Regions from separate parts of the Mus musculus genome. Here region 2 is reported to be linked to region 1. The links are microRNA targets in miRTarBase. Many come from high-throughput screens and were not tested one by one. Region 1 holds a microRNA gene; the other region holds the end of a gene's coding sequence.
What was found. The annotated mature microRNA mmu-miR-883a-3p reads UAACUGCAACAGCUCUCAGUAU and lies in region 1 at 3,453-3,474, shown strand. An mRNA with a match to its seed (bases 2 to 7 or 8) in the 3' UTR can be bound and repressed. Matches are read on the target gene's strand: a 7mer-m8 pairs with bases 2 to 8, a 7mer-A1 pairs with bases 2 to 7 and ends in A, and an 8mer does both.

Region 1 (5,158 bases):
CTTTTATCTGCTCCGGTATCAAGGATGCCTTTAAACTCTTTTCCGTTGATCTTAAGGCGGAGCTTAGGTCTATCATTCAAAGATACAACCAAATAGGCAGAATCATTTCTGGAGGAGCCCATTTTCTTTATCTCAGGTCCTGCAAATTTCTCCCTGGTATTATCAGGGAGGAGCAGCAGCTGAGCCATCCTATCTCCTTTGCTAATAGAAAAAACGCCTTTGGGGCTTGAGCACAGGACCTGTATTTCAGGGGAATGTTGACAATCCATAACTCCAGGGTGGACTACTAAGCCCTGCAAGGTGAGTGAACCCCGGCCGAGAATAAGGCCCATGGTTCCCGGGGGCAAGGATGGTATAGGCTCCACCGGCACCGGCTGAATACTCATTTGAGGCATTAGTAGGAAGTCGGAGGCGGCACGCAGGTCCACCCTTGTGGGTCTTCCTGGGTCGCCTCTCTGACTGCTTCCTGGGTCCTGACAAACCGGTTCCCATATCTTTGAGGGCCCTGGGACCGAGGGCCCAATGACCCGTTTTTTGGCACATAAGCTGATTGACTATCAGGTGGGGGAAGAATTCTGCCCTTTATATCCCTCACAGAGCGACACTGGTCAGCTCTATGATAACCCTTGCCACACTTAGAGCAAAGAGTGAGGGTTCCCCGCTTTTTATCTGGAGCTCTGCAATCTTTCTTAAGATGCCCAGGCTTTCTGCAGTTAAAACATGTCCTCCGATCATTTCTGCCCATGGAGCATTTTTGGGATTGAAGGATGGCAGCCGCTAAGCCTGCATTGCTGAGAGGTCTAAAGGTCCCTGGTTCGATCCCGGGTTTCAGCACCAATTCTTATTAACGCGTTCTCACGACCGGCCAGGAAAGACGCAACAAACCAGAATCTTCTGCGGCAAAGCTTTATTGCTTACATCTTCAGGAGCCAGAGTGCAAGAGAGCAAGCAAGCAAATGGCGAAACCCCATCCCTTTTTAAGGAGAATTATCCTCCACCTAGGATGTAGTACTTCCTGATTGGCTGCAGCCCATCGGCCCAGTTGTCATCACGGGAAAGGCAGAACACATGGTGGGAAAACTGCCCCTGCATGTGTGCAGACTATGTTTACCACTTAGAACACAGCTGTCAGTGCCATCTTATAATGGCAAATGTGAGGGCGGCTCCTCACACAAGGTGAAGTTTTGCTTCTAGCACAGTCTCTACAAAGATTGATTTATAGATAAATAATACTTAAATTTGGTCTTATCATGTTTTTTATTTATATCTCATGTTGCCTCCCTTACAGTCCCTCTTCCATTGCCCCTCATCCAGGCTCATCAAGTCTGCATAATTAGGATAATCCTCTCCTACAGAGGCAGGACAAGGCTGACCTCTGCTACATATGTGCCAGGGGTCTTTGTCCAACCGATGTATGCTCATTGGTTGGTGAAAAAGTCTCCAGTAGCTTCCAGTGGTCCAGGTTAGTAGACATATTTGGTTTTCCTATGGTGTTCCTGTTGCCTTCAGGCCCTTCAGTCCTTTCCCCAACTTGTCCATAAGTCGTCTGAAACCTCTGTTCAATGTTTGGTTGTGGGACTCTACATCTATTCACTTAGCTTCTGGTTGGAACTTCTCAAGGCATAACAGAGTTTGCAAGCATAACAGAGTATCATTAATAATGTCAGAGATTGGTGTTTTTTCATTTGATGGATCTCACTTTGGACGAGTTATTGGTTGGCCATTCCTTCAGTCTCTGATCTATCTTTGTCCCTGCATTTCTTTTAGACAGGACAAATTTTGAGATTCCATCTTACACAAATCAGCATAGCTAAGATAAAAAACTGATGCAACAGCAGATGCTGGCAAGGATGTGGAGAAGAAAGAAGAACATTCCTCCATTGCTGGTGGGATTGCAATCTTGAAGACCCATTCTGGAAATCAATCTGGTGTTTTTTCAAAAAAATTGTAAATAGTTCTACCTGAAGATTCAGCAATACTGCAACCCAGATATTCTTCACCTGAAGAATAGATAGAGAAAATGTATTTCATTTACACAGTGGAATACTACTCAGCTATTAAGAGGGAGGACATCCTGAGTTTTGCAGTCAAATGGATGGAACTAGAAAATATCCTGAGTGAGATAACCCAGACAGAAAAGAACATGCATGGTATGTACATACTTATACCCATGACATACGCCCACAGACCCTAAGAAGTTAAACAAGAAGGAAGGCCCAATTGAAGATGCTTGAATCACACTTAAAAAGGGTAACAGAACTGTCATGGGAGGCAGAGGGAGCAATGTGGGTATGTGAGGGGGATATGTTTGCAGGATCAGGTGTGGGAAGGGAAAAGAAAGAGGCCCATAGGCCCAGGAGAATGAATGGAAATCTCTATCTTGCAGGGGACTTACGGGTGGAGGTAATCTCTAAGCAGACCCTGAGACCTAGGATAGGGAAGGCTCCCAGGAGCCATTGTGTGTGACCTTAGCTGAGATGCCTAACAATGTGGACATGGAACCTGAAGAGGCCACCTCCTATAAACAGGCAGGACCTCCTGTGAAAGATAAGGACACGAACCCACCCATAAAACTTTTGACCTAAAATCCACATTTTTTAAATTATATTTTTATTAATCCTTTACAATTTCATATTCACTTTGGTCATAATTATAATTAAGTTTGATAAAAGAATATGTTTTGTTGTGATCATCATTTCTCTTTAAGTTAGGGTAGTGACAGGTTTTTATGTGAAATGTACATGCAAAATCAATTGGATTTTCAATATCATCAGCTTAAGTGTGAAATCAAACATTTACAGACACAGTTTAGTGGGGGTGTGTTTAATTGTGAAGATTGTGATAAAAGCTGTTGGATGAAATTGTTGTTGTTGAGATGAAGTACAAAGGATCAGTCTATGCTATCTCAAAGTACAGATTAATACATACTGAAGCCTTCATTTGATATATTCTCTTGATGCTGATGACTAAATCATTGCAGGTATCTTGAGGTCTTGCCTTGTTCATTTGTTATTCTTTGGTGTCACCTGACCTATATATTTATAAGAATATTTGTCTTGTTAATTCTATTTTTGTTTTGTTTTGTTTTGTTTTTTTGAGACAGGGTTTCTCTGTTGACCAGGCTGGCCTTAAACGAACTCAGAAATCCGCCTGCCTCTGCCTTCCGAGTGATGGGATTCACGCCCGGCTATGACTTGTTAATTCTTAACCTCTTGAATTCATACAGATTCGAGGAGTATCAAGAAAGAAGCAAGTCTGATACCTTGAAATGGAGATGGAAGATAATGGAAAATATGATTATACTTCCTGAGGAATTATGTGTAAAGAAATAACATTGCATTCATGTCATACTGAGAAGAATCATGAAAGTTGTTTTTGAAGTCAGCTGATAATAATAATAATTCGTGTGCACTATAATGCTGAGAGAAGTAGCAGTTACTTTATTCTATAAGTAACTGCAACAGCTCTCAGTATTGTAAGGCTCAACAAACGCAGGGATGGTAGCCATATGGTCATATTATGCCTTCATAGAGAAGATAAATGTACTGATTCTGGATTATACTTCATCCATCTTCATGATATCTTCAGATCTATAACCATAGAGAAGAGAACGGTTGTAGAACTTTAGAAGTATACTAAGAAAAATCCTAATGGTGGAACATGAGAAGACAGCTTCGAAGAAGAATGTGTGGTTAAAAAAAAAAAGTAATTATTGTTGACGACTTACTTCAATGTTCTATTCAATTTTATTTCACATGTTGAAATAAAGACTTCAGATGGGCTGGTTCTAGAGTACCTGGGCAGTGCTCTACTCACATGGTTGCTAATCACGTGAAGTGTAGGTGAAAGCCACCATGCTGGGTAAAGTAAAGCTCATCATGTTCTTCATTTGTTGTGGCCTTGGGTAGTAAAGATGAAGAAACTATACATCCTTATTATGGCTCCAGAATCTGCTTCCTTGTACCTGAAGAAACTATGCTCTCATTTTTTTTTTAAGTTTAAATGTTGTGGAAGTTAGCATTATTCTAGCTTGCACAGAACCCAAATTATACAAATTATAAGAACAGAAAATTGCATGCCAGTCTCAATAGGGATCATGAATATAAATATCAGAAATAAAACCAATCAATGATTTCAGGCCCAACTGAATATCAATTCAAATATCTTGTGACAACTTAGATGATGAGTGCACGAAAGTGGACTGAAAAGCTACAAGTAATTAGAGTCTTCCTTTATAAATATGGCCCTAAGTGAAAAAGAACCAAACAGATTTAAATTCAAGTCACTGAAATTATGATGGTATCAGTGATTTGAATTTAAATAGACCAAGTTCCTATCTTCTGTATTCTGTAACTTTCTCCAGTAATTGAACAGCGATATACAGGTACAATTGTGTTGTATTCTCATCCTATGCTCCCAATATTCTGATTCTTTTAGAAGATTTTCATTACCTAGTTTTTAAAAGTCATTTGCAAAGTATATCACTGATTAATCTTAAAGTCACACTGGCTATCTGGCTATAGGTCAAGAGGTCTTCCTTTATCATGCAAGGTGACAAAGTATATTTTGTATTCCCAAACAGTTGAAAATAAATAAATCAATGTTAATATGTCATGCTGTAATTGGTGAAGTGATGAAAACTGCTTGGGATGATTAGCCTACATGGATGATACCTCCATATCTTCATGCTTTATGTTATATCTCACTCAAGAAGCTGTTAGACAGTTGGACTACCGACAAATCTTCCAGGTAAAGTACTGCTCTTTAATTCAGTTATTTTTGATAGGTTCTAGGTAGTATTAGTGCTTTCCATGTAAGATCACTGATAATGGTTTTCAGGATGATCACAAAGCCTTACTATACAATTGTGTGTATCTTTTTAATCACTTTCATGGGACAGCATTCAAGCATCTATGTTAGGTAAGGAAAAGGAGAACAAGGTGCTAAAATTAAGAATTATGCTTTCATAAAAAGAAAATGAGGTACACTGTGTTAATGAAAGACTAAACACAGAAACGGTTTGAGTCTTTGTTGCCCCATATCCTTACTTTTTCAACATAGTGTAGACTATCCATGTTTCACCTCATGGGTACTTTCAAAATAGAGAATGTAAAGAAAGAAGATAATCTAAAGAAAAAAAAAATAATTTCCTTCCCAG
Region 2 (5,158 bases), not on the chromosome of region 1:
GCACCATCTCCTTTATTTTTGAGGCAAAGACAAACCTGTAATTCATTAGGTAGCCTAGACAGGCTACCAGGTGAGCCCTGGGGAACCAATCCCCGCCTCCTTGGCACTGGTATTGTAAGTACACATTACTAAGTCCCAATTTTTTCAATTTGTTGAGAATGAGTCTTCAAGTTTGCCAGGTGTGCTATTAATCAATTCAGCAAAATCTCAAATCTCCTGTAAGACTGGCCTCTGAGCAGGGCTTGTAGGGGTTATCTTGACTGGGACAGGTGGGAAGCCCCACCCATTTTGGATGGTTCCACTCAGTGGGCTCTGATATTAGACTGTATAAAAGGCAGAAAGGCAGCTGAGCACCAGCATGGACCCATTTCTATCTCCTGCCTGGGAATGAGATGGGAGCAGCTGCTTCAAGCTCCTAACACTTGACTTCCCCACTGTGAAAGTACCTTTGACCTCAGAGCCAAAATAAACCCTACGAGGGTTGCTCTTATCAGGGTATTTTATCACAAGAAACGTAAGACAAAAGCCCTAACTTTTTAAAGGAAAAATAATTTTCCTCCTATATTCATGTTAAAATTTAAAAACAACTACACCCAGCTAAAAGGTATGCAGATACTGGGAACTCATAGTGGTTTTTGAATTTCTTCTTTTTGGGCTAGGGGGTAATAGCACAGAAGGTCATCAGGGAAGAGATGGTCTTACAGGAATGCCAAAGCTACAGTTAAACCAGACACGGCCAGAAGCACATGCCTATAGTCCCAGCTACTTGGAAGGCTCCAGCTGAAGGATCACTTGAGTAAAACGCCAGATTGGGCAACACACCAAGATCCTTCAATCATTTGAACACACATTTAAAAGGGCTTGTTTCACAACTTACTCAAGGAAAGCTCCTCTCCAAGCCAAGAAGTGCATACAGCTCAAAGTGTTAGCTGGAGTGTACCTCATCAGGCAGAGTGCTCAGCTACCACGGACAAAACCTTAGGTTTCAATCCCAATACTGATTAAACCAACCATGCTGGTAAAAGCCTGGAATCCCTGAGCTAGGGAGGTGGAGGCAATTAGGAATTGGAAAAACATCCAGAGACCACCCGAACTCTATCATCCTATAATTAGCCAAGTTTTAAGATGCAGCTTTCCTCAGTTCTGTGTCAGATTTGGAATTGAGGCCCAGCTAAAAGGGGAGGACCACTATAAAAACCAAAGGCCATAACTTACTCTAACTTACATGTGTGAGAGCATGCCGGCTCTTTTGCATTCCTGGACTTCCTGGCATTATCTTAACTGCTTCAAACTTCGGAAGATGGAGTCCTCAGCTGCTACATACCCTACTGGCTCTGGCCCATATGAATCAAATCATTGATTCATACTCATGTGAGGTATCTAACAGTGATGACTCCCCTTTTTATATAAGTAGTCAGCTTATGATTCAAGGACCTGCAGAGGGGATGCACTCACCAGGAGGGACTGAAGCTAGCAGTTGCTGCCAGAGATGCCTAAGGGTCTTCCACCTTAGTCAGCCCTTCCAGAAATACTCTGGAGGACCCAACTAGAGACATGTCTTTTAACTGATCTTTTAGACGTGTCCAGTCAAATTGACAACCAAGATTAACTGTCACGGCCACTGTAGTAAGCACTGCATGAATAAAATCAATTTAAAGGCAGTTGAGCCACCAGACTGACATGGGTGCTGGGAACCCAACTCAGAGCCTCTGAAAGCTATACATGCTCTTAACTGCTGAGCCATCTCTCCAGCTGCCCTACCTAATTTTCTAAAATTGGAAAACAGTGTTGAGGCTGGGGCTATACATCAATTGCTAAAACGTTTGCCCTGGACTTGATCCCTGGCATGGCATAAACCAGGTATCATGGAACACACAACCTGGGCACTCGTGGTAGAGGGAGGAGGATCAGAAGTCCAAAATCACCCTCAACTACACAGCAAATTGAAGGCCAGCCTGGGCTACAGGAGACCCTGTCTCAAAAAATAAATGACTAATTCTGGGAGCTGTGTACCTCAGTGGTAGAATGCATGTTTAGCATATGTGATGATCTGAGCTTAATCCATGGGTCAGCAAAACAAAAGGTATACTAAAACCAGAGGCAATATTTCTCAACATCTTCAATTCAAACACCTTTAATTTCTTCATGGAGGTCGATCATGCAGACAGTATCTGCATTTACATCAAAGCCCTGGGAGTGACTAGTGTCTTGGTTGGTGTCACCCTTACACAACAGCTCAGGCTTACCACTCCAGGCTTCTTCAGCCAGCAAGGAACATGAAATTTTTTTTTTTGAGACAGGGTTTCTCTGTGTAGCCCTGGCTGTCCTGGAACTTACTCTGTAGACCAGGCTGACCTCGAACTCAGAAATCCACCTGCCTCTACCAAGTGCTGGAATTAAAGGTGTGGGCCACTACTGGCCAGCAGAACATGAACAATTTGATTCTCCATAGAGAAGAAGAGTTCAAACAGCAGCACACTACTTTACAAAGAGACCAAAAACAGTTTTATTGCTTTACAAGCCAGTAACGAACACAACTAATTATCAACATGACACTTCTAAACTCTCAAGTAGAATCACAACACTAGAACATACTCCTTCACTTTTAAGTGCAATTTGTTCATTGCATCTGAAACTGAATTTCAAGAGTTATGTATGGTGGCAATGACCTAGAGTCCCAGCTGCTCACAGGCTGAGGCAAGAGGAGAGCTTCAGCCCAGGAGGTTGAGACCAGCCTAGACAACACTACAGGCAGGACATTACAACCTCTGTCTCTAAAGAGGAAAATATGAAACTTTTGACAAGAGCTTTAATGATGTCTAGCAGAACCCACAAGAACAGGCAAGAGCCTGTGAAACTACCATGCAACTGAAAAGCCTTCTACCTTCCCAGACACTTTCAAGAGTCTAATCCTGTACTCAGGAAACGGAAACAGAGGTGCGAGTTCCAGGCCAGCCTGGACTACCAGCAAAACCCTGTCTCAAATGGTAAACTAACAAAAATTGCCTAATACCTTACTCTAACCCTGCAAAAAGAACCATGAAGAAAGCTAGTCTACATGTCCAACAATATACAGCAATCACAGCTCATTCCTCAGGATGGGAAATTAGAGTCAGCCTCCTGCCACCCCGCTCGCTGCACAACGAAGGGTTGAACCCAAGGCCTCAAACATGCGAGGGAAAGTCACTGAAACATACCCCCAGCCTTTTTGGTTGGTGTTTTTTGTTTTTTGCTTGTGTGTGTGTGTGGGGGTGGGTGGTCTTTTTTTTTTTTTTTTTTTTTTTTTTTTGTCACAGGATCTCACTCAGTTAGACAGGCTACCCCTGAAGCCTTGAATTTGCCAATCTCCTGCCTCAGCCTCCTGTGTACCTGGGAGCACAAGCCTGCACTTTCAGGCCCCACTTTCCAGTTAGTCTCTAACCATGGCCTGATAAAAGCCAGTGTCAAAGATCCCACTGCACAAACATGAAGCCCAAAATGCTACCAAGAAAGAAAGGGTGACACCCCTGAGTACTTCCTATTACACTAGTAATGGCAGCAGCTTCCTGTCAGAGGGTGCAAAAAAAAAAAAAACCTACACTATTTTTGTTGGGTTTTTTTTTTCTTTTTTTCTTTCAGTTTTTTGAAGTCCTAGGATGGACCATTGCCTCACATTGCCAAGCAAGTCTATCACTAAAAGCTACATCACCAGCCTTGACTTTAATAATTTCAGTTCTACCCCAAGAATGGCCACATATGAATTCTTATGCGATCTGAAAAGGAGAGGGCATAGAGGAGCCCAAAGTTTACATGACTACCCTAAACTATACATTTTAAATGTACTGACAGAATCACAACCTTCAATTTCTTATTCCAAAAAATACTGCCAATCACATGAATTTTTTAAAGCCAAATTTTACTTTCTTCTACTCCAAACAGCACTGATGTCTCTAAGAAGCCACTCCTCAGTACAGATAAGGAGTGAATACATGAGGATGGCTTTCTACTCCCAGACCAGTTCTAGCTGGCTGCTGAGAAAAGGTCTCCATGTTTACAAATACAGCACACAGGTGTTAGCTCTAGGCAGGTGTAAAGACTAACTGCTACGGCAGCCGGGGTGTAAGGTGATGTCAGAAAACAGATGCTCTAACCCAACACAAGACATCACAACGCTTTTCCAGAGGCTCTTTCTACCTTGACCTTGCTGGGTTGAACTGTACAGTTTCATCTGCTCTGTTTTAGTAGCAGGGACAGAGTCGGGGCCTCAAATTTCCTAGGCAAAAAATTCAACTCACTTACAAGACTTAAGATGGGCAAAATAAAGTTCCCTTGCTTGTCAACCATTTTATTCTCACACTGCATCCAGGCTATAGCTGGAAATGGAGGACTAATCTGGACCTAGAAAACATCATTGTTTACTTGTGGGAGAAATTACAAACAAGACAACAAACCTGTCAGTCAGTACATCAACAGTCAGGTAAGCAAGAAAGGACTTTTACCAAGGGACCAACATTCACACTGTTGACAAAATGGTAATACGACGACAACACGGCACGGCAAGTGCACTGAAAATCAACAAAAAAACCCCATCCGTGGAAAGGTTTCTTTTTCTTTTTTTTTTTTTTGTTTAGATCCAAAAAGTATTTCAATTCTGACACTCACAGCACACAGCTGGTTACGAAAATAAAGCGCAGTGTTTAGCAACTGGTGTGCTAACTACAGGAAGAGGCACTGAGCTAGCCCTCCCTGGCAACTGCGGCGCCAGCAAGGCCAGCCCCAGGGAAAAGCTCCTATTTTTCACCACAAGCCGCTGCTGTCTCCTTATTGAAGCCTCGGATGGAAAGGTCATAGACCACCTCCTCTACTTTCTTCACATCGTACTTCAAGCCGTCGTAGCGCTTCCTCAGGGAGTCATTTTTCAGATTGAGAAGACGAAAACCAGAATCCAGCTCATTGATGAAAGTAGAAATGTGAAGGGGCCGAGAGTAGTCTCCAGCAGTGACACTGTTGACAGACAGCCTCGACTGCACAGGGAGAAAGAAATCGGATACATCACTATGTGGGTTCTCCCTCCACACCTTCCCACTAATCACAGCTAGAAGCTCAAATTGAAACAGCTACACTGAACTGATGTTCTGTATTCAAGATGCTTACATGTAAGCACATTAAAACAGAAGGT

Region 2: miRTarBase lists Tsn as a target of mmu-miR-883a-3p. Seed matches in the 3' UTR shown: 7mer-A1 at 4,077-4,083.

Annotation. Positions count from the first base shown.
Region 1 is chrX:66,779,084-66,784,241 of GRCm38, reverse strand. Mir883a (microRNA 883a) reads left to right here and starts at 3,409; the gene lies at 3,409-3,484. Mir742 (microRNA 742) reads left to right here and starts at 3,805; the gene lies at 3,805-3,869. It also overlaps the pseudogene Gm14681.
Region 2 is chr1:118,296,035-118,301,192 of GRCm38, forward strand. It overlaps Tsn (translin), which reads right to left. Exons shown (of 6, transcript NM_011650.4): 6 at 2,480-5,003. The coding sequence ends at 4,770. Among named protein-coding and RNA genes, the nearest start is that of Tsn, 13 kb to the right of the region's middle.